Neurospora crassa OR74A: one gene and its partners. The protein of the gene in region 1 interacts with the protein of each later gene in a pairwise test. Links are inferred from orthologs where the notes say so. Each region holds a gene or a part of one and is shown in the gene's direction. Other genes may lie near its edges.

Region 1 (5,036 bases):
ATACTAACCTTGACTCCTCATCCCTTAGGTCGTGGTTTCGTTGCCTGCTTCCTTCACAACTCTGGATACGAAGTCATCTTTGCTGATGTCAACGCCGACCTAATAAACGCCCTCAATGCCAGCCCCTCCTACAAGGTTATCGAGGTGGGAAGCGAGGGAACGGAGGAATCGACCATCACCAACTACCGCGCCATCAACTCTCGCACCAATGAGGAGGAGCTTATCCAGGAAATCGCCACGGCTGAAGTGGTGACTTGCTCCGTCGGCCCCAACATCCTCAAGTTCATTGCCCCTGTCATTGCCAAGGGTATCGACCGCAGATCCGAGGACCTGCCCCCTGTGGCTGTCATTGCCTGCGAGAATGCCATTGGGGCGACGGATACTCTTGCCGAGTACATCAAGGACCCTAAGAACACTCCCTCGCACCGGTTGGAGAATTATGAGAAGCGCGCCCGTTTCGCCAACTCGGCCATCGATCGCATTGTTCCGGCCCAAGATGCCGACGCAGGCTTGGATGTCAAGCTTGAGAAGTTTTATGAGTGGGTGGTCGACCGCACTCCCTTCAAGGACATGTCGCCGCCCGACATCAAGGGCATCAACTGGGTCGACAACCTGCTGCCCTACATTGAGCGTAAGCTCTACACTGTCAACACCGGCCACGCGACGGCCGCCTACCATGGTTACATCCGCCGCAAGAGCACCGTCTATGATGCTCTCCAAGATAAGGACATCCAGGAAGAGGTCAAGAAGGCGCTCGAGAACACATCCCACCTCATTACGCAAAAGCACGGCATCGACGAACAGGCCCAGCACGAGTACGTTGAAAAGATTGTCAGGCGCATCAGCAACCCTCACCTGGAGGATGCCGTCGAGCGCGTGGGCCGTGCTCCCCTACGGAAGCTGTCCCGCAAGGAGCGGTTCATCGGCCCCGCAGCCGAGCTTGCCGAACACGGTAAGGACTGCAGCGCTCTGCTCGATGCTGCTGAGATGGCGTTCCGCTTCCAGAACGTCGAGGGCGACGAGGAGTCGGCCGAACTTGCTAAGATCATGGCGAGCAACAAGCCCGAGGACGTTGTCAAGCAGGTCTGCGGCTTGAACGAGCAGGAGAAGCTGTTCCCCAAGGTGGTCGAGGTTGTACAGCGCGTACAGGCCGACTTGCACGACGACTAGATGGAGCATTTCTGTCAACTTGTGTGTTTTGTATCCATTCTTACTTCATGTCTTATGATAAATGAGCGAAGACTTTACGGATAGGGAATAGGGCAACGGTGTCGTGGACCCTCGGAATCCGGAGAATATGGCGTTCATTTGGTTGCTTTCTGGGATATCAACGCGGAGCATTATACAACTGGGATCAATGGCGTTTAGCCGGGATCATATTGACATCCTGGAGGTTTTGGGTTTCCCTTTTTTCTTCTTCATTATTGTCTCTGCGCAATCACTAGAAGCGCTTTGCAATGATAGATATAGTTCAAGTCAATAAGAAGTACTCACACTCAATTCTTCTCCATGTTCCAGTAACGTTGTCGTATGCAAAGTGCGTCGAACTTGATCACTGCTTCGAGCTTTTTCTTTGAGCCCATATTTGGTGATTGCTGATAATGTTTTTAAGTAACGATGAAAATGGATGGGAGTACCGACTTGACGACTGACCGTCATCGGTCGCGCCTCCTGTTGCGTCGCTGAGACCTTTTGGTTTTGAAATACTCGTATCTTGCAAATTTGCTCGTGTGTGACACTCCTCCAAAATGTGATTGGGAATTGAGTCGTTCACAAAGTGACCGTTGCGTTGGTCCAAGCCTTTTGGTTTTTGACGATCTCCAGTGGTCGACTTTGGACGTGGTTTGGCGATGGTGATGGCTTCAAACACTGAATGCACCGACGGTGAGGGGGGCGCCAAGAGATCCGCAAAGCTGTAGTGTTGGTCGTTGCCTTAGGCAGCAGCTGGCGAGCGCAGGAAGTGACAGTGGCCGGCAGCTGTGCCCACTTGACCGCCTGAGGGAGAGAGTGGCCCGAGCGGCGAGCAGACCACAGCCGCGAAATTGTGGGCGGCGGCCGGTCGAGATACGTGGCGGGCACCTCTACAACCGTCCGCTGTCATTTCCGGCCCGTCGCAATCAAGTGTCAAGGCCTCCGAAGCCTCTATTCCGAATCCTCGTACCGCCAACCACGTCCCCCCCCCTTCGGCGGACCAGATATCCAATACACCAAATACATATAACCACGATTGCACCACTTCCGATAGCTTCACCCCTGACGAACCCGACGGCGGCTTTCTTGCACGGTCAGGGACCATCTCCAGCATCCAGCACGCACCCCACCTGAAGCTTGGAAGCTCGAGAACCGTTACGACCGCCCCGTCCTCTAATTCCAACTTGTAAACACCACACACCACACACCACACACCCACCCCAAACTCGCCCAACATGAGGCTGGATGTCAAGGCAAGTTCGCACAGGCTTCGTGTCTGCACCACCATGGCCGTGTCACCGAGACCCAACAGAACAACCCGATTCTGCAACCTGGCGCACACTTGCACCTCCCTTAGCTTCGGCCTGGGATCTTCCAGTTGCCCCTATTCCGTCTGCTGTACCGGCACCTCGACGGCCAGCTCCATTGCGCCGACACGTCCATCATCACATCGCTGCCTCCAACTGGGCCATCTCTCATTAGAAAACACCTGCTAACATGCCTGTCAACATGCAGCGCCAGTTGTTTGCCCGCTCTGAGGTTCGTTACCTGTCCTCTTGACCCCCTGATTTCTCCGGTACCAAGCAGTCTTTCAACATTCAAGGTTCCCATTGCTCACCCATATCCCGCACATAGCGAGTCAAGGGCATCGACTTCCATCCTACCGAGCCATGGATTCTGAGTACGTCTGATTCGACTCGCGATACGATGGGAGGGGCCCTGAATTCTGACACTACTTTGGTGATTAGCGACCCTCTACAGCGGCCACGTCTATATCTGGTCATACGAGACACAACAAATCGTCAAGACCTTCGAGCTTACCGATGTCCCCGTCCGCGCTGGTCGCTTCATTGCGCGAAAGAACTGGATCATCTGTGGTTCCGATGACTTGTATGTTCGACATGGAACTTGGGCTAGAGCTAGACAGGAAGGCTGACCTGGAATCCCAGCCAAATTCGAGTCTACAACTACAACACGAGCGAAAAGATCACATCCTTCGAGGCGCATCCCGACTACATCAGAGCCATTTGCGTCCATCCTACACAACCCTTCGTCCTTACCGCCAGTGATGACATGACGATCAAGCTTTGGGATTGGGAGAAGGGATGGAAGAACGTGCGGGTATTCGAGGGCAACTCACGTATGGCGCCACCAGCCTGATACATCGAAGCAGAGCGCGCGTGCTAACAGAGCTTCAGACTACGTCATGTCCCTCGCCATCAACCCCAAAGATACCAACACCTTTGCTTCGGCATGTTTGGACAGGACAGTCAAGATCTGGAGCTTGGGTTCATCCACACCAAACTTCCAGCTTGAGGCGCACGAGACCAAGGGCGTCAACCACGTCGATTACTATCCCCACAGCGACAAACCCTATCTTCTCACAACTTCTGATGACGTGAGTTATATTGACATCTGCTGGCGCATAGGACTTCACAGCTGACTTTACTGGCACAGCGCACGGTGAAAGTGTGGGACTATACCACCAAGAGTTTGATCGCCACTCTTGAAGGCCACACCAACAACGTATCCTTTGCCTGCTACCACCCAGAGCTCCCTATTATTATCTCTGGTTCGGAAGACGTACGTCGATATTGCACCTGTCCACTCGCTCGCAGGCTATTACTAACCGTAACCGCAGGGCACGATAAGGATATGGAACGCCAACACCTACAGGTTCGAGCAATCGCTAAACTACGGCCTGGAGCGAGCATGGTGTGTGTCATATCAGAAGGGCAAGCAGGGTATTGCTGTTGGTTTCGATGATGGTTCGGTGGTCATCAAGCTTGGTCGGGAAGAGCCCGCTGTGTCGATGGATGGCTCCGGCAAGATCGTGTGGGCCAGGCACAATGAGGTTGTATCTGCCGTGATCAAGGGTGCTGGTGAGTTACAAAACGGAACATCGAGAGTGACTCCGAGCTAACAGGGATCAGATGCCGATATCAAGGACAACGAACCTATCACACTCACCACCAAGGAGCTTGGAACCGCCGAGGTGTACCCCCAAAGTCTCATCCACTCTCCCAATGGTCGGTTCGCTGCTATTTGCGGCGACGGCGAATACATCGTTTACACTGCGCTCGCCTGGAGAAACAAGGCATTCGGTCAAGCCCTCGACTTTGTGTGGGCTTCCAAGGAGTATTCCAGCACAAACGAGTTCGCCATTCGTGAGTCTCCCACCAGCGTCAAGATCTTCAAGAACTTCGAGAACAAGGTCGGCGGTCTCGACGTCCCATTTGCTGCCGACGGTCTTACCGGCGGTGTCCTCCTCGGTGTCAAGGGCCAAGGTGGCATTTCCTTCTACGACTGGCGGACGGGTGGACTTGTCAGACGCATTGAGGTGGAGCCAAAGCAGGTGTACTGGAGCGAGAGCGGCGAGCTGGTTGCTCTTGCCTGCGAAGATAGCACCTACGTCCTCAGGTTCTCGAGAGAGAACTATAACGAAGCGGTCCAGGCTGGTCTTGTCGAGGATGATGGTGTTGAGGCTGCGTTTGATGTCGTTACCGACATCAGCGAGAGTATCCGTTCGGCGGAGTGGTTGGGAGATGTCCTGATCTACACCAACAGCACCAACCGTCTAAACTACTTGGTTGGCGACCAGACTTACACCATCGCCCACTTCGACAAGCCCATGTACATCTTGGGTTACCTCCAGCGTGATGGCCGCGTCTACATCACCGATAAGGACCTTAATGTTACCTCTTTCGCGCTCTCGCTTCCCGTTTTGGAGTACCAGACTCTTGTCCTTCGCGAGGATATGGAGACGGCTGCCGAGCTACTCCCAAGCATTCCTGAGGATCAGCTCAATAAGATTGCGCGCTTCCTTGAGGGACAGGGCCACAAGG
Region 2 (4,260 bases), on another chromosome or scaffold:
TTGACGCCTCCGCCGCGTTTGCTCAAATTGCTATGCTGTTGGTTGCTAGAGGAAGGTCCGCCGGCGGCATTGGTGGCGTTGGTGCTGGTGGGGAGGGTACCTGCTGCTGCTGTGGAAGAAGATGGAGGAAAAGGAGGAGGGTAGGAGGAAGAGTGGATGGCGGTTTGCGAGGGGGGCATGTTGGTATCGTATCCCGATGCTGCTGCTGAAAGGTTGTTGTTGTTGTTGGCAGAAGGGGAGAGGACGAGGTCCCCTTGGGAGGAAACGTAGGATTCGCCGCGTTCGCGGAGGACTTCAAAGATGTCGGTTAGGATGGTGGCGTCGAGAAAGGATTTGGCGTGGAGGGCTTGGAGGACCTGTTGTATGTTTGTGTTGTTTTTAGCATTGGCTGAGGATTAGGGGGGGGATAAAGACGGGTGAGAAAGGCAAAAACACAAACCTTGCGGACAACCTTGACGTTAGCCGCCCCTGACCCGTCATCTGGCGCCACGGCATCGACCACACGAATAATGTCCCGCTGCATCATGCGGATGTAATCCTCTTGTCCGTCTTTGTAGGCCATGTCGAGAAAGTGCTCGATGAAGTACATGATGTTGGCTCGCATGTTGAGATTGCTCTGGGAACCTTTGTTAGTGAATGTCTTGATTGAGCCAACGAGCCGCGGGGGTAGGGGGAGGGATGAGCCGATGAGGGTGAGGCTGGATGGTTTGACACCAGCTCAACTCGTCTTCTTCCCAAAATGATTGATTGACTGAGCAAACATGAAGATAAAAGATAAACACACCCTTTCAAGTTGCTCCAGAATGCAAGAGTGCAAATCTTCAGCTAGATCCTTGTGTCGGAGAGCATACTGTGCTGCCTTTTGCGAGGATGTCACGGAGGCACTTAGTTGGCGGAGCTGGTTTGTGAAGCGCATGCGCACCTCGAAAGGGTCGGCCATTTTTGCTTTTTTTGGTGATGTATGTTGTTTTGCGTCTAGATGCTGGTAGTTGTTGAAGATGTTTCAGTTGTGTAAGTGATGTAGTTGGGGTGGGAAAAGAAGGGACCCTGGTGTGACTGAAACTGCTATGGGTTGTTGTTCGGGTGTAAGTGAATGAATGGATGTAGTTGAGTTACTCCAATTGTTCACCTTGCCCGATGTTTATATACTTTAATTATCTGCTGTCGTGCTTCAATGCGCTTGCATAACTGGCTCATCTGCACCTGCTTTTAATTTTCAAAATTTGCTCAGTTCTGCAACTGACGCCAACTTGAACTTGAGATGTCGAGTGAACACGGAAATCATGAATATGACAGGCACGAAAGCATTTCAAGGTTGTCGTCGCCAACAACACGAGCATTCAAAAAGAAGAAAGGACGTTGAACTTGGGTAACCACACTAACCCGCATATAGCAGGCGGTGAGCATGTTAACGAGGCGCTAGTTCTCTTAGTACTGTGTGGTAGCGATACCGGGGTCCTAGTGGGGTCTGTTTACAGCGGCAAACTCTCCACTGACCGATAAAGTGATATCACAACTCAGGATCGATGAATAAGTTCCCGTTTTGGGCCTCATCGAGATCGTCTTCACACTTCACTGATCGACCTCTTTTTCTTATCTCTCCGACAGGAACCAACTCGTTTATTTATTCTCTTCCAATTTTGGACGACCCGAGTAAACAACAACTGTCGAACCTTTCCACTTTCAACTCAATTTCTTAAAACCACCACCACCCACGACACACAACATCAAGAACATGGCTGCTCCTCAAGTAAAGAGCTCCTCCGAGCTCACCATGGCCGTTCTCGGCTGCGGTAAGTGATCCTTCCCAAATCTCACTCACCTCACACGCCCGTCACAACCCCCTTCCTTCCCTTGCCCAAATAATGTCAGACATGGCACTAACCCTACCCTCGTCCAGGAACGATGGGCATCTCCATCCTCTCCGGCATCCTCTCCTCCCTTTCCTCCATCGCCCAAGACCCCTCTCCACCACCCACCAACCCCCCCGCCCTCCCGCGCCACTTCATCGCCACCGTGCGCTCCCCATCCTCCGTCGCCAAAGTCGAGTCCGCCCTCTCCCCGCTCGTCAAGCCCTCCGTTTCTACTCTGCGCGTCCTCCAATCCACCTCCAACGTCTCCGCCGCCGCCGAAGCCGACATCATCCTCCTCGGGTGCAAGCCCTACATGGTCTCTGGCCTACTTTCCGCATCCGGCATGAAAGATGCTCTGACAGTCAAGCACACCGAAGGCCACGCGCGGTCCCAAAAGATCATCATTTCCATCTGCGCGGGCGTGACGGTTCCGGACCTGGAGCGGGTCTTGCGCGAGGACGTCGGACTGTCCGCTGATAACTTGCCGATTGTGGTGCGCGCGATGCCCAACACGGCCAGCAAGATCAGAGAGAGCATGACGGTTATCAACACGGTTGACCCCCCGCTGCCGGATACCGTCACGGAGCTGCTGACGTGGATTTTTGAGAGGATCGGCGAGGTCGTGTATTTGCCTCCGCACTTGATGGACGCGTGCACTTCTTTGTGTGCTTCGGGCACGGCGTTCTTCGCGCTGATGATGGAGGCGGCGGCGGATGGAGGTGTGGCGATGGGGTTGCCTAGGGCGGAGGCGAACAGGATGGCGGCGCAGACCATGAGGGGTGCTGCTGGGCTCGTGCTGGAGGGAGAGCATCCGGCGATCTTGAGGGAGAAGGTGAGCACGCCGGGCGGGTGCACGATTGGCGGGTTGTTGGTGTTGGAAGAGGGTGGGGTTAGAGCGGCGGTTGCGAGGGCGGTTAGGGAGGCGACGGTTGTTGCGAGCTTGTTGGGAGGAGGGGGAGCGAAGAATGTCAATGGTACTAGGCATTAGAGCCCTAGAGAAAAGGGGAGGTGAGGATATGGAGTGGGCGGGGTCTGCCGAAGGGAGGTCCTAGACGGTGTTGGTAAAAGCCTACCTCTAGACGGAAAACCTAGAAAGTCTCGAAACCGAAATACCAAAGGTAGACAGACAGGTGGATAGTGAACCGCACACGGAGGTTCATGACATTATTTATCTCCAACCCCCCTCAGAAAGAATGGGTCGAGGTTCATAGATAGTTAGAGAACATAAAAAGGCGCCAGACGCCCTTTCAATATGTACAAACAAACAACAAATAGAGTCATACAGGGAAAAACATATGCTCGCACCAACAATGCTACTTTCAACCTATGTGCAAGACATCCACCCCAAGCATACTTAGGCTAGTATGCATTATGGATACCACCTCATATCATACGGGGAAAAATGCCATATTTTCGATGCTCAAACCCCTACAGGTACCATTGACCACCCATCCCTCCTGTACTTTGGACTTGGACATGGGTAGAGAGGTAGGCTCTATGCATGTCCGCTCTCGACCTTGGCCTTTTTGCTCGACGCAGCAGCTGTTCCCTCCGCCTGCTCAACCTCGTCCAACTTGCGCTTACCATTAGCAGCAGAAGGAGTAGCCGGCACTTGATCACCGGCAGTCTCACCATCAGCCTGAGCCAGCTTGCCCTGCTCCTCAGCCTTGATCAGCAACCGAGCATAATCAAACTCCACACCAGCAAAAACCTTGGCCAGCTCCTCCCTGCGCTCCTTAAGCTCCAGCTGGCCCAGCGCGTCCCTGTTGTGCACGTATAGCCTCCGCTTGACGAGCATCATCCATAACCTATACGTATGCTCGTCTTCGGGGGTGGGCTTTGGCAGGGCCTTTTCATGGCCCTTGCTCTTGCTTCTGCCGCTCTGCTCCTCGTAGTCCTCATCCTCGGGAGCGCCCAGTCCTGGCCGGACGCTCTCGGGGAGCTGGGACATCAGGTACATCTCGAGCACGCGGGCAAACTGCCGAGGCACGATCTTGAACTTCTTTCGGCAGGCTTCCCAGGCTGCTTGGTCGACAATATTGCTGGGTGCTTTGCCCTCCTCGGGAATCTCGACGCTGGTGTCGATCTTGAGCGCTTGGAACTCGGGTTGTTTGCTGAGGAATGCGAGGTCGGCGAGATCGCGCATGTCATCGAAGGCCTCGTTGGGGTCTTCCACCGTCAACTCAATGGTAGGCTCGTGCTTAAGATATTGCTGATAAATAATACTGTAGAGGCGCGAGCCGAGGCCCTTTTGCTGGAAGGGCGGAATGATGATGAACTGGGAGATGCGGGTGCGGCAGGGGAGAGTGTCGAGGTCGAAGTCGCCGTCGACGGAGAAGGTCGGGGTATCGGTCGGGGTCTTGGATTCGGACTCGGCGGGTGGTTGGAAGGCATAGTATCGGTAGAG
Region 3 (4,922 bases), on another chromosome or scaffold:
GCGGTCCTAGAGTTTTGGGATGCTCTTTGGCTGGCCATTTCCTTTTGCGCCAACTCCATCATACAGTCATGTACGCATTGATCCATGACCGGGATGATTTCGGTAGGATAGTGTTGGGCCTGATGCCATAACTTCAAGGTGCGCGGGTAGGACTTGAGGTCGCGGAGATCCAGATACAGCTTGTTGGTACCAAGCAGCAGCATATTCTCCAGTGCCTCCCAATATGGCTTCGAATCCGCATCCGGATGGCCAATAGTCTCGGCCTCGTCCGCGCCATCTGCCCACATCCGGTATTTCCTGGTGAAGTTCCTGAGAAAGTCCTTGAACGCGGAGAACGAATCGTCAAGAGAAATTGTTGTACCCCAAACAAGACCTTGGCTTTGTCCACCAAGGGCATCTGCCTCAGAGGTATTGGGGTTATTGGTGACAAACGAGTTGGCATCGGAGCCAGGGGCATCGCGGATCACACGACCGGCGTCGTCGAGGATGATTCGGCGGGGAATCTGGGCGGGAGTACGAAGAGGGTCCCCGTTGATGTCGCCTCGACGGGATCGACCGGCAACGGACCTTTGCGAGCTGACGAAGAGCTGACTGCTTTCGCTACGAAGATCGGACTGTTGAGTAAGCTGACGGCCCGGGCTAGAACTGGAGGCATAGCGGATGGGAGAGGAGTCTGCGGAGTGTGGTCAGCATTCAGTGTAGTCCTTTTTTTTTTTTTTTTGGTTGACAGCCATACCCCCAATTAACTGGCTCCGTCCGTTTGCGCGAGGAGTTCGGTCAGCATCGCTCTGGGTCTCTGTCTGCTGGCGCAAAGGCGAGCTCGGCGCATTGCCTTGGTGGGCAGTGCTCTGGGTATTGCTCATCTGCCTCAAGGGAGAAGATACCGGGGCGGCGCCATTGGCAGGCGAGGAGGGCTCGTAGAATAAGGGACTAGAGGCAAGCTGTGATGCGCGTGTCTGGCGAGGAGTTGCGCTCGAAGGACCAGCCTGCGAGCTGCGAGTAGTGCGGGGAGTAGCTGATTGGGAGCTTCTCGTTGTTCTGCGCTTTGCTGGGGAAGACATGTTTACTACTCTGTCCTCGGTGGTTTTGTTGAGATAATACAAAGTATGGAAACTAAACCAACAAGAAGGGACAGAAGACGGGCAGGTTGGGATGGAGACGCTGGAGTGTTGTTGTGGCGGCTCCCGATCCCTCTGTAATTGCGAGGTGGTTGGCAGGTCGGCAGCGTGTTCAGGACGGGCAAGGTGGATCACGTTCCTATCGAAAAAAAAGACAGTCGCGACACACGCGTCTCTGATAAAAGCACTTTACACGGCCGTTCGTGTCTGCGGGGGCTTACTCGCGTTGACCCATTAAAACCCCTGTCATACCCAAATGAGACGGACGAGGCCACTGCAGTGCTGCTCTTGAGTGCGAACTGTCAGGTACGTAAGGTACGTACCGCGCCGTGGGGCCTCGCTTGGAGTGTTCGCTCTGGATTCAAGCCACATCACAGGGACCGCTTCACCCCACAATACCCACGCTCACCACGGTAACCAACGATACCGCCTGCCCCTGGTCATTGTGAGCACTACCTACCTACGCAGCACCTCTGGAGTTCAAGCTAACCACTATATACCTACCCACTTGCGCCCATTGAAGTCGAGTTGCCCCTCGTCGCCGACCTTCTCCAACCGATACCAGTCTCGAGACAGCAATTGATCAAGAAACAAGAACCCCCAGATAACCAGTCAAGATGTCGCCAGGAATGTCGCTGTATAGCGTCAACGCTATAGGTACACTAGGCACCACGCTGCTCCTGGGTCCTGGCTTATACGCGCCACGTCGAGCAATGTTGACAATTGCGTTCCAACAGTAATCCTCTCCAGCGATGACGGTTCGCGGATATTCTCAAAATACTACACTCCTCCTCACGCTGCCGCTGGCGCACCAGGAACAGGAGTGGCCGCCGGACTCGGTACGCAATAGACGCTCCTTTTACCCCTTATTCGGTGTCGCATGTTCCCGTAAGGCTGACCAGCCCGAACCTTGTGCACAACAGCTTCCTCGAGCGCTTCCCAGAACCCCTATCCCGACAAGACTTCTCAAACCCGTTTCGAGAAGGGCCTCCTTCAGAAGACAGCTAAGCAGACGGGCGATATCCTCCTCTACGACAACAAGGTGGTGCTTTACAAGATGGAGTCGGACGTTGCTATCTACGTCGTTGGTAGCGCGGACGAGAACGAAGTTCTGCTCTACAACGTACTTTTGGCGCTTAGGGACAGCTTGCATATGCTCTTCAAGTGAGTATTTATGGCGAACGTGAAGGTGCCGGTCATGGGACATGATTTGGCTAACCACGGACTTTCTACTCAGGCAATCGATCGACAAGCGCACGATAGTCGAAAACTACGATCTGGTATCCCTCGCTATCGACGAAATCGTGGATGACGGCGTTGTTCTCGAGACCGATCCCACCATCATCATTCAACGATGCAGCAAGGCGCCGCCTGCCGATGTCAACCTCAGCCGCCTCGACCCCTTCACCGAGCAGGGTGTCAACAACTTGGCACAACTAGGCAAGGCTAAGCTTACTGACTGGCTTCGTCAGGGTCTCTAAGGGCATGTGCGGGTGGGTAATGACAAGGGAAGGAGTGTGGCGGATGGGAGCAACCAAGGTAAAGTTGGCGCATTGGTTCGTAAAAAGGTATCAGGCCCTTTTGTTTGGCGAGCCTTTTTATGGCAGAGTAATGAGCCAAAGGCGAAGCAAAAAGACACGAAAAGCCAACAAGTGATGGGTTAGCAGAAAACAGGAGTTATAGTCTTTTCCCTTGCGATCTATAGGGTTTGACCCCGTCTATATTCTAATGTCGGAAGCGGCTTTCCTCAGCCTGTTCATGACCGCCGCCGCGATATCGTCTCCATCACTCACACCCTCTACGAATATTACATCCGCGCCGCGCCTGTCCAGCTCTCGGAGGGCAGCGAAAAGGCCATGTGCCACCCCCTTGACATCGTTGCCCAGATCAATCTCCAGAAGCCTTGCCAACACCGTGGTGCCGTCCTCATCCAGCCATTGCCCTTCCCTGACAGCGAACCCAGTCTCGGCCACGTCCCCGCTGTCCTTCGCAGCAACATCATCAAGCCCCTGACTCCTCAACCCCCCGGCAACAGGCCATCTCCCCGTCCTAATAACCGCAACACTCTTCACGTTTCCCTTGCCCTCCTCCTCCCCAGCCGCTTCAACCGCCTCCCTCACATCCGCCTTCGGTACCTCCCTCCTCCCTCCCTCCGCCTCATACAACACCACCCTCGCCTTCGGGCTATAATGCTTATACTTCATCCCCGGCGCTCTCGGCGCCGTCTTTCCTCCGACCTCTGCCTGATCCTTATACGCCTTCTCCACGCCTTCCCACCCCTTACACTCCCTAATCTCCTCCAAGCTGACCCCGCCCGGCCTCAGCACCACAGGCGGCGAGCAAAGCCCGTCGACGACCGTGCTTTCCACCCCTACGCTGCATGATCCTCCATCCAAGATCAGTGCGATGCGACCCCGTAGATCGTCTAACACGTGTTGTGCGGCGGTGGGGCTGGGTTTAGTGCTGGCGTTCGCAGAGGGCGCGGCGAGGGGGGCGTTGGCGAGTTTGATCAGCGAGCGAGCCAGCGCCGAGGCGGGCATTCGGCACCCGAATGTGGGTAGGCCGGCGGTTACTTCCGGAGCGAGGAGGGAGGGGGAGGGGTTGGGTAGCAGGATGGTGAGGGGGCCGGGCCAGAAGCGGGTTATGAGGGGGTGATAGATGGCTGGGATGGGGTCTTCTTCGTCTCCTGCTGAGGAGAAGGAGGGAGAGATGAATGACCGTAACATGCTCAAATCGCAAACGTGCACGATCAAAGGATTATCGCTTGGTCGACCTTTGGCGGCATAGATTCCCTTGACGGCAGCGCTGCGGGTGGCATCGGCGCCTAGGCCGTAGACGGTTTCCGTGGGGAAGGCGACAGGAATGTCGGTGGTGCGGAGGTGGTGGGCTGCTTCGCGGATGGGAGACAGTATATTCTCATTTTCTGATGTAGTTGGGACCTCCCATGTGTTGAGATTGCTAGTTTTCGTTTTGCTTCCATCTTTGTGTTCTGCTGACTCCTCCTTCCAGTGGCCGAGCACTTGGATGTTGCTGTCGTCCACCTTCACTTTGAGAATCCGGGTTTCCATTGTCGTCGAAGTTGTCATAGCGGGTGCCATCAATGGCACTGCCGTAGATTTTGGTCTAGTTATGTCTGTGGTTATAGTGTGGTGGTGTCGATTGAGGATTGGGGTGAGTTGTGGGAGGTGCAAGCGTTTGAATCGGGTAGTGAGAGTTAGAATATTGGCGCAAATAGTTCCCTTCATTCAGGGGATTCGACGATTTCGAGAGATGGATTGAAAACCCAGAGTCTGTCGATTATCTTGGCGATTTTAGGCAACGGATATCTTGTGAGGCATCGGTTGTGTTAGACAACAAGTCTCGAACTTGGTGGTGGTGGTCAAGCTCAGGGTTTGGCTCCCTTTGAGTCACTGTGGAGAAATTTTTCTCTTTTATCCGTCTCAACTTGAACCCAAAACCAGTTTACGCCCTATTCTAGGCTGCTCATCTTACAATCACCACCACAACAAAACTTAACTACAACACATGTTGAGCATGGACGGCCTCTTCAATCTTGCTGAACTATGGATAGTAATTCATCTACCAACACATATTGTGATTCGTGAATTGTTTGTATGATACCGCTTATCTATACCTGACCCTAGATCCATGCTACACCATATACCCCTGGACCTCAGTAAGCACACCAAATACACACATTAAACAATTACTTCAGTGTGGTTCTGAGACAAATAACATCCCGTTACAAGACCCTACCTCCCTCAGACACTCGTGTCCACCTCACTTCCCCTCCTCCCCTGCCTG
Region 4 (4,721 bases), on another chromosome or scaffold:
TCTCCCTTTCCTCATGGTGACGACCCCGTTTGTGGTCCCTGTCATGGCCATGGTGACGGTCGCGGTGTCGGTCTCTATCTCGCGATCGGTCTCGATCATGGTCCCGTTCCCGCCTCTCCGACCGAGACCGCCTACCACAGTCAGATTCGTCACCAGACGCTCTACTATCATGTTTTTCCTTGCGATATTCTGTTCGCCTCCTCTTTTCTCGTCGTCGCTCTTCTTTTCGCAATTCCTTTAGCTCCCTTTGCCTCTCCTCATTCTCCCGTTCCCGTTCCTTGTTGAGATCACGCACCATCTTGGCACCCCTCTTCATCATCGCTAAAGGATCACTTGCACTCAGTCTTTCCACCTCACGAGCCTTCCGTCCGGGATCCTCCTTGCCGAACACGTTCTTGGATGGCACCAACGCAGCAACGTCGCCATCCGGTGTCGCATACCAGGGGCCATTTCTGGCTAACAAGCCTTCCGCATCCCTGCCAGCCGCACTGGTAAAGCGTACCTGATGCTGCTCCGCTTCCTCACGCTTTTTCTTGGCTGCTTCTGTCTCTGTTATCTCATCCTTCTCTACAAGCCTCAGCTCCTCTTCAGAAAACAACGTGATATGACCCCTGCTATCGACCAGCGATGCAGTAGTAGCAGTGATGGAAGTCGACTTCACTGGGCCAGACAGCTCCCTCGCCGCATTTTGCCCTGCCGTGGCCCGTTCCCGCGCTATCCTCATTTCAAAATCGGTGTCATCCTCGCCTGCTCGCTTGCGTTTGCGTCCTTCTATCAGAGGATCACGTTCACGCTGACGGCGCCCATGATCATGGCTGGATTCTGATGCTGGCGGTTGCTCCTCAAGTGGCGGCGGAACTTCACCGCGCAGAATGGCTAGACGACGTTCGGCGTCGACCTGTTGCATGCGTTGCTCCTCAGCTTCCTCGCGAGCACGGGCCTCGGCCTCGTCACGGCGGACGCGGGCGACGTTGTCTGTGTTGTAGACGTTCCATGATTTCTTTCCGAGAAGGTGACTTGTATGCTGTTGGTAATTGTTGCTTGGATAAAAGGAGTCAGTATTCACTCACAGAGGCATATTGACGTTGGGACAAACGATGAAATCGTCTCCCTTCAAGTGATTGGATAGTTGAAGACGACAACATTGGGAGAACCAGGAAGCACCTCTACTTGGAGTCAGTCTTCTTATCTTATCTTGCGGCCAACACGTGCCCCGCTCTTTGACGTACGTTGGTCCCGTTGGTCAGGGGCGAGTCCAGGCTGGGCGCCAGGGGACCAAGTCTGGGGATACACCACTAATTGAAAGCTGGCGCCTTTGTACAAGTAATCTGACAATATGCTCCATAGTACAGCCGCCATTGACACCATTTCCTGTACAGCGTCAGGGACACAGCTGAAACCACCCAACGTAGTAATAGCGTTCCCTTGACACAACAGACCTCCATCCGCATCCCCTCCTCTCTCAACTCAACAAAACACCGAAGCTCAGCCTCAAAGGACAGGCATCTTCTGTGGTCATACCCGGCTATATCGTCAATTACAATCAACCGAACCAACATCCACGACGTGTCTACGTACTTGCGCGCGAATCCAGTGCGCCCACTCCACGCTCCAACGAGACATAGATAAACACCACCAAGGGCGACTGGTTCTCCCCATTTACGTCCACTCACCTACTACTCCTCCTCGATACCCGTAACTTATAATCCACACACGACACTCACCATGGATATTCGAGGCAACCTCTTCGGCAAGAAGCCCCAAACCCCACAAGGAGGAGCTGGTCTCCCCGGTCGTCCCGTCCAACAAGCAGCCGGAGGCGGATACGGCGGCGGCGCAACACCAACCAACTACGGCAGCCCAGGTGGTCGCGCTCCCTCTCAGCCCCAATACTCTGGCAGCGGCGCTGGAGGATATGGAGGTGCGCCATCTGAAAAGAGCTATGGCGGCGGCGGTGGCGGTGGTTACGGCGGACAGCCCGCTCCTGGCGGATACCCTTCTCAGCCAGCCGGTCGCGGTGTCCCCCTTCGGCTCGCAAAGGTGGATGACAAGACGTTGCAGAGTCTCTACATCTTTGGCAACATGTGAGTTCCCTGCGCTACCCATGGTCAGTCTATCCAATCCAAAGTTGTTAACCTCGTACTTTAGTTGCGCCGTATCGCCCAATGATTTCCCCCCGAACCACGATGGCACCGATCTATACATCCGCTTGACAGGAAGACAGCTACGAGGAGATTACGTGGTGACGGCACGCCCCACCCCCGGCTTCCGTCCGGGTCACATCAGCTTGTCAGACCCCCAGCGAACATGGTGCGGAGTTGGCATGATGGACGAGTTGATGGGAGAGGTCTACGATCCCTTTGCCCGTGGAGGCGACGCCTACATTGGCTCCATGGATGTTGAGATCGGATTTGCGTCAACCAACCGAATCGTCGATACCCCCTATGACCAGGATGAGCTGGCCAAAGTGTTCCTCAAGACTTTCCAGAACCAGGTCTTTGCTCCTGGTCAGAGGTTCCTGCTTGACGTCAAGAACATCCCTTTGGCTGTCATGGTCAAGACGGTCACTCTGGTTGACCTGACCATGCTGGGATCGGGCGAGGCTCCCACACGCAGTGACCCTGGAGCACGCGGTATTCTCACCAACCAGGCCAGCATTGGCTTCTACAAGGATGCCAGGTCACCCATCAAGCTCAAGGGCTCCAACAAGCGCCCAGCGGCCAACGCCATCATCGCCCCAGACTTCAAGTTCGAGAATATGGGCATTGGTGGTCTGGATACCGAGTTCTCCACCATCTTCCGTCGTGCCTTTGCCTCTCGTATCTTCCCTCCCGGACTCATCGAGAAACTTGGCATCATGCACGTCAAGGGTATGCTGCTGTATGGTCCTCCCGGTACCGGAAAGACCCTGATTGCCAGACAGATCGGCAAGATGCTCAACGCCAGGGAACCCAAGGTCATCAACGGTCCTGAAGTGCTGAACAAGTACGTTGGTCAGTCTGAAGAGAACATCCGTAAGCTCTTCGCCGATGCCGAGAAGGAGTACAAGGAGAAGGGAGACGAGTCCGGCTTGCACATTATCATCTTCGATGAGTTGGATGCTGTGTGCAAGCAGAGAGGTTCGGGTGCTGGTGGTGGTACCGGCGTCGGAGACAGTGTTGTCAACCAGCTGCTCTCCAAGCTTGACGGTGTCGACCAGCTCAACAACATCCTCCTTATCGGAATGACCAACCGTAAGGACATGATCGACGATGCCCTGCTTCGTCCTGGTCGTCTCGAGGTTCAAATCGAGATCTCGCTTCCCGACGAGCATGGCCGTGGCCAGATTCTCAAGATCCACACCTCCAAGATGAAGGAGAACAAGGTCATGGCTGACGACGTTGACCTCGCTGAGCTTGCCACTCTTACAAAGAACTTTTCTGGTGCCGAGTTGAGCGGTCTCGTCAAATCCGCTACCTCGTACGCCTTCTCCCGACACATCAAAGTCGGCACCATGGCTGGCGTTTCAGAGGACGTGGCCAACATGAAGGTCAACCGCCAGGATTTCCTCAACGCCCTCGACGAAGTCAAGCCCGCCTTCGGCGCCGACGAGTCCGAGCTTGAGAAGCACCTGGCTTACGGCGTCATCCACTATTCCAAGAGTATCACGTCGATCCTGGAAGACGGTCTGCTCTACGTCAATAACGTGCGCAAGCTCGAGCGCCTCAAGCACATGACCGTCCTCCTTCACGGCCCTTCGGCCTCTGGAAAGACGGCTTTGGCCGCCCATATCGCCATGAAGTCCGACTTCCCCTTCATCAAGTTCATCACCCCCACCGACATGGTCGGCTTCCGCGACGAGGTGGCCAAGAAGGATTACATGCACAAGATCTTCACCGACGCCTACAAGTCCCCGCTCTCCCTCCTCATTATTGACAACATCGAGCGCATTATCGAATGGAACCCCGTCGGCCCGCGCCTGTCCAACACCATCCTCCAGGCCCTCGTCACCCTTTTGGTTACTCCTCCACCTAAGGGCCACCGTCTCTTGATTCTCGCCACGACTTCGCAGCGTACCGTCATGGAACAGTTGGACGTCACTGAGTCGTTTGACTACCAGATTGCCGTTCCCGCTGTGAACAACCTCCAGGAGTTGGGCGCAGTGTTGAACGAGGTGGGAGCGTTTGGTGGCGACCAGGCGGCTGTCAGTGAGGTGTTGAATACCCTACGCGAGTATACCGGGTCGGATAGCGTGGGTGTGGGTGTCAGGACGATCCTGACGATTGCGGAGAGCGCGGACACGAGTCCTGATCCGAAGGGATGGTTCGTGGAGAAGATGGCCGGGTTGATTGCTCGGTATAATGTTAGGTAGAGAGAGAGAACTAGAGCTGTAGACAAGGAGGTATATACATTAATATGGGTATATGGGTGGATATCAAGTGGATGAGCTTCAGGATATAGACAGTGATGCCTTTTGGGAATAGAAGTAGGTTAATGATGACCACTACTTTGTTATAACTGTTCCAGTCTTGTTCCGAATCTTACCCCTGCGTTTCATGGGAAACCAAACGCGAGCGTTCGTTAGACTTGTATATATATTTCCATGCTAACGTATCCGAGATATTCAAAGGACCACTATTTCTGGACCTACGCTACTATGTATACCTTCACAGCACGAACGAATACTTACCATATTGGTCAGCGCCTCCATGAATGAGATGCGAAAGTAGAAGAAACTCGAA
Region 5 (5,021 bases), on another chromosome or scaffold:
TTGTCCGTTCTCTGTCACGACTTCCAATTGAAGGAGGCGCGCCAAACGTCTTCCATTATTGAACCTGCCCATTCCTGCTCAATGTCACACTCACCCAGGGAAAATCCTCTTCGAGGTAATTTTGTCCCATCTTGATTACGAGTGGTGACCACGGCGAATATGCCTTCAGCACTCCAACGCGAAGGCACGATATGAAAGATTAAAGAAGGCTATGCGCAGTCAACAACACACCAAGAAGGGACCATCTTCTGTCGGATTCAAGGGATAATGGAAGAATCCCATCATGTGTCGCCCTCTTGAGACGCGTTTTTACATACCTGGAGCCGAGGAAGCTACGCCATAGGTGATCGGCAACTGGGCTGCTGGTGCCTCCCCAGCCCAGCCATTCGCGTATCCAGCCATGTTTCCGTGACTAACCATTCAGAATCCAGGCTTCGACCTCAAGCAAGAAACGAGTCAAAAATATCATCGGCAGATGCAAGATGCCCTCCATCATGTACAATTACATCACCGGTCCCAATCTCTACCAAGACGAGATTGAAAAGCCGGCAAACATGTATGGACATGATGAACAACATTGGTTCCTAAGATGCCAGGGACACATTTCTTCAAGATGAAGGACCCTTATAACTAGCCTTCACCCGCCTGTTATACTCGGGAGTCTTCACAACAGTCTTCACATTCCATCACATTGAAGAAGCGAGAGCACCAAGTCCGCGAGTCAAAACAAACCATCAACCATGGCTCCCCTACCACTCCCACGCATACCCGCCTCAACGGCCGAGAAACTCCAAGACTTTGTCTTCAAACGGATCGTACACCCAGCTCTCCAAGGAGTCGAAGCCATCCACCCTACAAGAACCTTCAGCCCCATCACCCGGCGGCAAGATGCCCCGCCCACCGCCACGGTAACCTTCGTCCAAGTCGACAACGACAACGACAACGACCCTGATGACGCGCAAACCCTCAGCGGCGGCGCCATTGCCGGCATCGTCATCGGCTCCATCGTCGGCTTGCTTCTTCTCATCTGGATTATCCGCAGCTGCTTCAACCTGGGCGCTCCACCGACACACGGCAAGCGCAACAGCAAGGCTTGGTACGGTGACGTGAGGGATGAATACCCGCCCAGACACGTGGGCGGGGTGAGACACTCACGATCGAGGTCGAGGCATTCGCATAGCCATCATCGGGGTCATTCTAGGCACCGGAGCCATTCGAGGAGGTCGTCTTCGATGCGCGAGGTGCCGGTTGTGGTGGCCTACCCGACTCATGTGTATGATGATCGGAGGGGGAGGAGCAGTAGGAGGAGTCGGAGTCGCAGTGTTAGTGTTTCGAGGTATTAAGGGGAAGAATGGAAGCTGATTGGGAGTATGGGAAGGAGAAGCTCAATTAGGATGATAGAGCATTGCGCCATGCGTAACGGATTGACGAGGCAACGAATTGATGACTGATTGATACGAACATATTCTTTCCCTAAACTGTATAGTGTCCGGACAGAATAACATGTAATGAATAATGAACAGACACTGGTGTCTTGGATAGAAGCCGGAACAGTCCTTCAATAACATCAATACAGCGACTTTTCACTTAGACACTAATCGTTAGCAGGAGGCAGTGCAATATGTGAAAACACTAACAGCGTCACTTGGTGCATGATGTACACCTTTGATGCCGGCTTATCGGCTTATCGGCCGTCAAGGTTGCGTTCAGCCAGGAACAAACCCCGCCCTTCCGGCACCTTTTGGCAGGAAGCCCCACTCCGTGAGTCACCAAACGCGGCAGGCGGTGTAAAATTATGTATAGCGTTGGAGGGCAAGTGGAAGCATGCCACTTTCACGGCTGCGATCGATGGCGTCCCGTCTCCTCCGCGACCGGTTCATTCAGTTGTCACTTTGACATCCATCCACTGACTCTTTCCACTTGTCTCTGTGCCAATTCCACCCAGGGAATCCCCTCCTGTTCCTGTTTCCGTTTCTGCCTTCCTTTGCTTAGACGTTACAGTTCAGTTGTTCAGGATGGCTGCCCTCGACATCAGGCCGTCCCTGGAGGACGCGCGCAAGCTCTTCGACCAGACATGCCAAGCATCAGCGACCTCGACAGCATCCCCAAGGCCCACCCTTCTCCCCCTCTGCATCTCCTTGCCTGCCGACCTCTTGACGCCCTCGGCCATCTACCTCAAGCTCTCCGCAGGGTGCGTCTTCCTCCCAAACCTCTCTCCCCCTCGCCGTGTGTCCCGTTCCGAATAGCTCAATTGACTCACTCGGCTAGAGCGACAGCTGAGTACTCGTTCCTCCTCGAGAGCGCCACTGGCAGCACCGAGACTGTCGGCCGCTACAGCTTCATTGGCGCCAACCCCCGAAAGGTCCTCGAGACCGGCCCCGGCTACCAAGATGTCGGCGATCCCATGAAGGCCCTTGAGCAGGAGCTCAGCCAGGACAAGGTCCTCAGCATCCCCTCCCTCCGACTCCCCAAGCTGACGGGCGGCGCTGTCGGCTACATCTCGTACGACTGCATCAAGTACTTCGAGCCCAGGACGGTCAAGGGTCGCGAACTCAAGGACAACCTACACATCCCCGAGGCCCTTTTCATGCTCTACGATACCATGGTTGCGTTCGACCACTTCTCCTCCGCCTTCACCGTCGTCACCCATGTCCGACTTCCCGAGGACCCCTCCGGCGACTTCGAGGCGGCCTACAACGCGGCTTGCGACAGCATTCGCTCGACACTCGAAGTGATCAACCAGCCAGAGACGCCGCTCCCGCCCAAGGACTCTAGCGCTCCCGTCGCCGATCAGACATTCGCTTCGAACGTTGGGCGCCACGGTTACGAGACCTTTGTGACGGAGCTCAAGAAGAACATTGTCAAGGGTGACATCATCCAGGCCGTCCCATCCCAGCGCTTCTCTCGCAGCACCAGCCTGCACCCCTTCAACATTTACCGGACCCTGCGCACGCTCAACCCCTCGCCGTACCTCTTCTTCCTCTCGTGCTCTGACTTCCACATTGTTGGCGCCTCGCCCGAATGCCTGATGAAGACCGACGGCTATGCCGACCTTCCCACGGATACCCGTTTTGGCTATAGTGCTGCCGAGGCCCGCTCTCGTCCCAGGATCGTCAACCACGCCATTGCCGGTACCATCAAGCGTGGCCTCAACTCGGAGGAGGACGATGAGCTTGCGGCCGTGCTGCTGGCCTCAACCAAGGACCGCGCCGAGCACGTCATGTTGGTCGATTTGGCCCGCAACGATGTCAACCGTGTCTGCCACCCGTCTACCGTCAAGGTCGACCGCCTCATGCGCATCGACCGTTTCTCACACGTCCAACATATCACCTCGGAGGTCTCCGGTCTGCTGCGCCCCGAGTGCACCCGCTGGGACGCTTTGCGCTCCATCTTCCCCGCCGGTACCGTGTCGGGCGCGCCCAAGATTCGTGCCATGGAGCTGATTTACGACTTGGAGAAGGAGAAGCGCGGCATCTACGCTGGCGCTGCCGGTTGGTTCGCCTATGATGTCATTCGCGTCGAAGGTGGTGAGGGTGATGCCCCTGTTACCACTTTCTTGAGCGAAGGACAGATGGATACCTGCATTGCTATCCGCACCATGTTGGTCAAGAATAAGGTTGCCTACCTACAGGCGGGCGGTGGTATTGTATTTGACAGTGAGAAGACGGAGGAGTGGATGGAGACCATGAACAAGTTGGCCGCCAACTTGCGCTGCATCGAACTGGCTGAGAAGTACTACGGCGAAAGTACGGGATCCAAGTCGGTGCAGGAAATCATTGAGGAGGAGAGGAAGAAGGGCGACGAGCAGTACAAGCTGCAGACGATGAGCGCTGGGGCGTAATTGCGAGTATGGTGTATTTGTGTGTGTTGTGAAGGCTCAGTCAAAACAGGATACCAGGTGAATCAATGTTTGAGCTGCAGGCTGAAGCCTTCCCATGATAGGTGTGGTCTGGGTGAAACTCGGTGTCCTTGTCTGCCAAGTCCACTGCTCTGTCCTACGTCCCACCCTGTCGGCGATAACTGTCCCATGAGCATCGATATACCCTTCCCTTCTCGGCGGCCGCCGAATTCTTTTCCCCGGCTCCTATTTCCCCGACTGGCTAAAGCGAACCGGCCAACGGCCTCTCCCTGCTAACACTCCGCTTTCCGGGGTATACACTGTAAGCGCCCGTCTTCCCGCCGCACCGGGACTAAGGCGCCTTTGTAAGATAGTTAACGAGGCCGAGATACTGGAGACATATAACCCTCCTATTCAGCGGCGGGTATTGCATCGGTTAACGTATAGGAGAAGATCTCTTTGTTTTTTTAATTTACCCCCCCAAAAAAGGTGTAAGGTGATTGGAACGGTGACACTTTTTCGGGTGCTACAGGGGCAGTCAACGCAGCAACTAGTGGTGCCACCTTTTTTGTCAGGGCGAGCTTGTCACACGTGAGACCACATCACAGCCTGACATGATGTACTGGCTCGGTTGCCGCGACCGGGAATAGTGGGTCCCGGGTTTGAACGCGCCTTGGGCTGGCCACTCATTCGCGCCCATGATTCTATTCCGTCGTTAAACTTCATCTTGCATTCTTCGAACAACATGCCGCTACTGCATAGTAGTATTCAAACCAACTCATCTCCCCATTTCTTTTACAACGTGGCAAGCCATTTGCCGCTCCATCCTCTATCGTCGAACACCCACCTAACCACGTCCGCACCCTGCCGTCCGGGGTCGTCATCATGGTCCGCACTCGAGCTCAGAGAGGTCAGCCCTTGACAGGCAACCGATCCCAGGGCATCCGCAAAAGCGCACCTCAAAAGCGCCGTCGCCTCCGAGATCCAGACCCAACAGACACGCCACAAGATCAAGCTGGATCAGATCAATCCAAAGTTCCGTCATCTCCAACGGATGGGCCTCGAAAACGAAAGGTATGACAAGCCTGTCCTTCCTGTCATCTGTTAGCTAATTAGACTACAGGATCGACAAATATCCGTTGATTCCAAACACCAGAAGCCGTTACCTGCCGTTGCAGATCCA
Region 6 (4,115 bases), about 2.3 Mb from region 1:
CGGCCAAATTGTCCCCCAAAAAAGCAACCGCACCGTTACTGCCAAGCAACCCGGGAGCAACGTATGTGGCCGCCGATCAGACGCCGTCAGGATCGTGCCCTGGAGGCGGAAGATGCAACGGCACAGGTGGTGCGGAGGGGTGTGGTGGTTGCCCCGCATACAACAACCGCGTTTCCAAGAGTGCGAGTCTCAACGTGCTAAAGTGTCAGGGCGCAGCAGCCGCGTCTTCCAAGAAACCTCAAGCAGCAGAGGGCAGCGGGGAAGAACCGACTGAGATGGACATCACCGCCTTACACGTACAATCGCAAAACACAACCGTTGTTATTGCTTGCCAAAACTGCGGTACTACCATTACTCCGCTCTGGCGAAGGGACGAAGCCGGTCATACCATTTGCAATGCGTGCGGTAAGTGCATGAACTTATGGCCTGAAAAGTTACAAATGGGATGGAATTTGCTAACTCGAGTAAAGGTCTCTATTACAAGTTGCACGGTGTGCATCGGCCAGTGACCATGAAAAAGGCAATAATCAAACGGAGAAAACGTGTGATTCCTGCCGCCGGAGGTGATGCCGAAATTGAGCCAAGTGAGGCTCCAGATTCACCACCCGCGACATCAGAACCTCCGATGGAGAAAGGTACGGTCAACGAAGATGGATCTGTTAATCTCGGCATCCGCCGACGTTCAGTGCGACCATTGACGCTCGTGCCTGAGGACGAATTGCGGCGAAACAGACAGGCATCCCCGCTGTCTTCAGCCGCCTTGGGACAGTACCACTCATCTCATACAAATCAACCACACCACGGGGCTCATGCATCTCTCACTTACGAGAATCGACTGGCTCCCATTCATTCACTGGCGCTCCCAGTTGATCGTCAAGCGTCCATTTCACCAGCATCATTTCTGTCCCCATCGAGAAAGCGGTCGATATCTGCTGTAGAGAACGAACCTTCGTCTCATAATGACAACGAAAGTCATAAGCGCCTGTCTTCCATCAAATCCATTCTCAACCCGATGCCGAGTTCTGAGATACACCGAGAGGTTTCGCCGGCAGACCAGTTACGGATGCAACCAGCCTCCCGGTCCCCAGCCATGAGCAGTCTGACTCCAGCACACAGTCCAGGGTCATTTTCAAACAGTACGGTTATTGGGACACCAACATCAGCTCCGATTTTGCGGAGCGCCTCGAGAGATACCCACAATGATAGCGAGCGGATGAAGGCAGAGCGAAGAGCAGCGTTGGAGCGCGAGGCCGAAATGATGAGAGAGTTGCTGGCCGCAAAGGAACGGGAGCTTGCCGAGTTGGGTTATGATTGACATGCGGAGGCTGAAAAAGCGGCATGCTGTGAATTCGGGGGAAACAACTGGAGTTATTCGGGAGAGCATACCCATGGAATTTGACTTGTGCATAGATAGATAGCAACGGAAGGCATAGTCTTTTTGAGGAAATCCCAATGACAGTTGGAGCCAGAGACCTTTAGTCATAGTATCCGCATAGTGGTTATGCGTCTATTCATCGATGCCGTCCAGTGGATTTGGTTTTGCATAGTAATAGCCGTCTCATGGCTGTAAACCCTAATTGCAACACCCTCGCTGCAATGGCGAAGTGTGATGCGGCAATGGAAGTTTCAAAGTTCCAGACGGAAAGCCCCTGCCCTGACATGCCGTAGGAGCCAGTGACAAGAGGCCGCGCACGCTTGCATCAGCGTCGTAGGGCGGAGCTCCCACGTTGCGCGCGTTTGGGGCCGGTTTAGTGGACAATGTACCCCGGCAGGGACCACCCGACCCTCCTGTTTGGTGCAGGTGAGGCTACCAGCTTCCTGACCTCGAGCTTCGATTGTTCCAGGCAACACTGTAGAATACACCATCCTCACAACATCTTTCGTTGCTCCGTCAAGAACCACCACCAAGTGGCCACATCTATCTCTACGCTCGCGCAAATTTCCGAGACTCATTTTGAATCGCTCTCTAGATTGCGTCGAACCCAGCAGATCGCACCTGTTCCTGCGACATTCTACCAACCTTTGCGACGTATTCGCACCTCCTCCACCACCACAGCCACTACTAAAACAACGCCATAATGGATCTCTCCGACTCTTTGTACGTTCACATCCGCCCGCTCGTGCGACTATGGAGAAAGAAAAGAAAGAAGGGGATGAGAGCGGAGAACAAGCAAGACCGCTGGCCCCCAATACTGCGTGCATCCAAGCATCCGTTCGAGGTTCAGAACTACTTGCTAACATGATGTCCTCCTCTCTAGTCGCTTTGTCAACCTCGCGGTTGCAGTGCTTATGATCCTGGGTGGTGTCTCCCAGTTCTTCCCTCTCGGAATGTACGTTTCCTCATTGTACGCCCGTTAGCAAGCCGACCGACTGTACAAAGTTATGCGCTTCCCTCCACGAGCGGATATTGTGGACGCAGCAATCTTGGGCGGTCGCCGAAATCGATCATGGTCCTGAAGCCTGGATGTCCCGGCTGCCAGTGCGCGCCCGCCTATGCTCACAAGGGTGTTACATGCTTTGTCCGGACTGTTGCGCAGGCTGATAGAAATCGTATGGAGATGTAAAACTGACCAAGTTACTGTCGACAGTCAACCAATTATCCTCGGGTGCTACACGATCCTGTTTGGTGTTGGTAGGTGGTCGCATACGTCGACAGAAACATTCAAATGGTTTCCGAAACGCTGACGCTGTTCTTCACAGCCACCGGTCTCCTGGAGTTCCAGATCCCTCACCAAGTCTACCGCTATGCGTCGTTCATGTTCTCGTTTCTTGGTCGTGGTGTTTGTACGTTATTGTTGCCCCACCCCCCCTCTGCTGCTATTGCTGAGTTATTGTGACTAATCGTCGGTCTACTCTTTGTACAGTTTACATCTTCGTCGGCTGCATCATTCCCCATGGACACTGGGCTACAATCATTATCGGCTCGATCATCTTCCTTGTCGGAGTCGCCTATGTCGCTCTCGAATTTGTGCCCTCTATTGAGCCCCCTCCAAACATGCGCGAGGTGGATGCGGGCTGGGGCGCTGAGCAGGTGTAGTTTGTGATACACGTCACTATTTGGGAAGTAATGCCCTGCCGAGAATTGGTTATGTAAGCATGAAAAGGGCTCTGTGGCCGCCGACAATGTCATGTCGACCCATACCAAGATGAGACGTTTGGGGTGTGAGAGTAGCGGGAGGATGGTCTGTTTGACAGCTACTCAGGAGCGCTGCTGGTGATCAACTGGTGTCAGAATGTTGAGGAATATGTTGCGCCAGCTGAATGCAGCACAAGTCAAGGGGTACGTAGTTACTTTCAGTAGATAACATCAAGGATGTGTAAGAAGATCAACGATTTAGCTTATACTTTAGTTTGAGGGCAGCAATGGTGCAGCCAAGTCAACATTTTGGATAGGACTGGCCTGCAGTCTTCTGGCATCCATAGACAAGCACTGTCCGTAAAGATGAAGTATCTTCCATTTATCGTTCGCGGTGGCAGTTTTCCACAATGGCAGATCATTAACTGGGTGAACGTGGTTGGAAATCCCCCCCTTTTTGGAGTTTGGGCAATTGTGGTTGTCCTAGCAACCATTTTGTTGTATCTAAAGCTGGAAGGGTTAGGGTATATGCAGGTAGGCGATAAGGTTCTTATCAATTTCAATCTTAAACAACTGCATTACAAAATTTTGAGCTTGACGGCCTGAATGACCTCAAAGTCAACCACATATCACCAAGTAAGGAGCCCTGTGAACACAATCATGTGTGGAATATGCGACTGACAAGTCGAATAAGGACCATTTTTATTGAGTCGTTCAAGTACCACATTCAAGATGGGCAAGAAAAGATCGAGAGAGGAAGCCCAGAAGGAGGTCGTCCAGAACGACCCCACAGTCGATAAGATGGATGAGGATAGTGACAGCTCAGACTCGGATGAGGTGAGTTACTTTCCCTTGGTGCACCAGGCTCGGTTGTTAAACCGACCACTTGCATCTTGGTCGAACCTCTCTTGGCCGGGAGTCGTAATACTAACATTGGTTGGAAACAAGGACATGGATATCATCAACGTCGACTTCGAGCTGTTCAATTACGACAAGGACATCGACTTCCACGGCGTCAAAACGCTTCTTCGTCAGCTCT

What was found.
Region 2: the proteins of NCU07319 (region 1) and pro-1 interact in a protein complementation assay, tested with the Saccharomyces cerevisiae proteins (2 studies listed by BioGRID). The link is inferred for Neurospora crassa OR74A from reciprocal best matches to the Saccharomyces cerevisiae genes SEC27 and PRO3.
Region 3: the proteins of NCU07319 (region 1) and NCU02538 interact in binary tests that used the Saccharomyces cerevisiae proteins (3 or more experiments, as listed by UniProt). The link is inferred for Neurospora crassa OR74A from reciprocal best matches to the Saccharomyces cerevisiae genes SEC27 and RET3.
Region 4: the proteins of NCU07319 (region 1) and NCU03387 interact in a protein complementation assay, tested with the Saccharomyces cerevisiae proteins (2 studies listed by BioGRID). The link is inferred for Neurospora crassa OR74A from reciprocal best matches to the Saccharomyces cerevisiae genes SEC27 and SEC18.
Region 5: the proteins of NCU07319 (region 1) and trp-2 interact in a protein complementation assay, tested with the Saccharomyces cerevisiae proteins (2 studies listed by BioGRID). The link is inferred for Neurospora crassa OR74A from reciprocal best matches to the Saccharomyces cerevisiae genes SEC27 and TRP2.
Region 6: the proteins of NCU07319 (region 1) and NCU07727 interact in a protein complementation assay, tested with the Saccharomyces cerevisiae proteins (2 studies listed by BioGRID). The link is inferred for Neurospora crassa OR74A from reciprocal best matches to the Saccharomyces cerevisiae genes SEC27 and TVP15.

What each region holds. Positions count from the first base shown.
Region 1 is NC_026504.1:4,379,203-4,384,238, reverse strand, and holds the start of NCU07319 (coatomer beta' subunit), read left to right. Parts: upstream 1-2,089; 5' UTR 2,090-2,426; coding exon 2,427-2,444; intron 2,445-2,706; coding exon 2,707-2,730; intron 2,731-2,826; coding exon 2,827-2,872; intron 2,873-2,939; coding exon 2,940-3,081; intron 3,082-3,140; coding exon 3,141-3,331; intron 3,332-3,389; coding exon 3,390-3,589; intron 3,590-3,648; coding exon 3,649-3,774; intron 3,775-3,832; coding exon 3,833-4,073; intron 4,074-4,124; coding exon 4,125-5,036. Other genes in the region: NCU07318 (mannitol-1-phosphate 5-dehydrogenase), read left to right, coding at 29-1,170. UniProt on the Saccharomyces cerevisiae protein: The coatomer is a cytosolic protein complex that binds to dilysine motifs and reversibly associates with Golgi non-clathrin-coated vesicles, which further mediate biosynthetic protein transport from the ER, via the Golgi up to the trans Golgi network.
Region 2 is NC_026503.1:1,528,336-1,532,595, forward strand, and holds pro-1 (pyrroline-5-carboxylate reductase), read left to right. Parts: upstream 1-1,487; 5' UTR 1,488-1,735; coding exon 1,736-1,793; intron 1,794-1,900; coding exon 1,901-2,841; 3' UTR 2,842-3,161; downstream 3,162-4,260. Other genes in the region: NCU06470 (hypothetical protein), read right to left, coding at 1-356, 440-616, 785-940; hat-1 (histone acetyltransferase type B catalytic subunit), read right to left, coding at 3,349-4,260.
Region 3 is NC_026501.1:2,661,861-2,666,782, reverse strand, and holds NCU02538 (coatomer zeta subunit), read left to right. Parts: upstream 1-1,562; 5' UTR 1,563-1,735; coding exon 1,736-1,775; intron 1,776-1,855; coding exon 1,856-1,957; intron 1,958-2,041; coding exon 2,042-2,282; intron 2,283-2,355; coding exon 2,356-2,599; 3' UTR 2,600-2,836; coding exon of another isoform or gene 2,837-4,363; 3' UTR 4,364-4,447; downstream 4,448-4,922. Other genes in the region: NCU02539 (cell division control protein 54), read right to left, coding at 1-673, 737-1,061; NCU11234 (translation initiation protein Sua5), read right to left, coding at 2,837-4,363; pod-6 (polarity-defective 6, variant 1), read right to left, coding at 4,880-4,922. UniProt on the Saccharomyces cerevisiae protein: The coatomer is a cytosolic protein complex that binds to dilysine motifs and reversibly associates with Golgi non-clathrin-coated vesicles, which further mediate biosynthetic protein transport from the ER, via the Golgi up to the trans Golgi network.
Region 4 is NC_026502.1:886,775-891,495, reverse strand, and holds NCU03387 (vesicular-fusion protein SEC18), read left to right. Parts: upstream 1-1,442; 5' UTR 1,443-1,725; coding exon 1,726-2,084; intron 2,085-2,148; coding exon 2,149-4,351; 3' UTR 4,352-4,553; downstream 4,554-4,721. Other genes in the region: NCU03386 (hypothetical protein), read right to left, coding at 1-1,016, 1,071-1,078. UniProt on the Saccharomyces cerevisiae protein: Required for vesicle-mediated transport. Catalyzes the fusion of transport vesicles within the Golgi cisternae. Is also required for transport from the endoplasmic reticulum to the Golgi stack.
Region 5 is NC_026506.1:3,652,664-3,657,684, reverse strand, and holds trp-2 (anthranilate synthase component I), read left to right. Parts: upstream 1-1,846; 5' UTR 1,847-2,015; coding exon 2,016-2,191; intron 2,192-2,268; coding exon 2,269-3,841; 3' UTR 3,842-4,349; downstream 4,350-5,021. Other genes in the region: NCU17136 (hypothetical protein), read left to right, coding at 741-1,343; NCU05130 (hypothetical protein), read left to right, coding at 4,724-4,912, 4,962-5,021.
Region 6 is NC_026504.1:2,074,209-2,078,323, forward strand, and holds NCU07727 (COPI-coated vesicle protein), read left to right. Parts: upstream 1-1,823; 5' UTR 1,824-2,078; coding exon 2,079-2,098; intron 2,099-2,258; coding exon 2,259-2,330; intron 2,331-2,588; coding exon 2,589-2,632; intron 2,633-2,700; coding exon 2,701-2,784; intron 2,785-2,864; coding exon 2,865-3,037; 3' UTR 3,038-3,458; downstream 3,459-4,115. Other genes in the region: sre (siderophore regulation protein), read left to right, coding at 1-405, 471-1,315; NCU07726 (bcp-1), read left to right, coding at 3,809-3,913, 4,025-4,115. UniProt on the Saccharomyces cerevisiae protein: Golgi membrane protein involved in vesicular trafficking.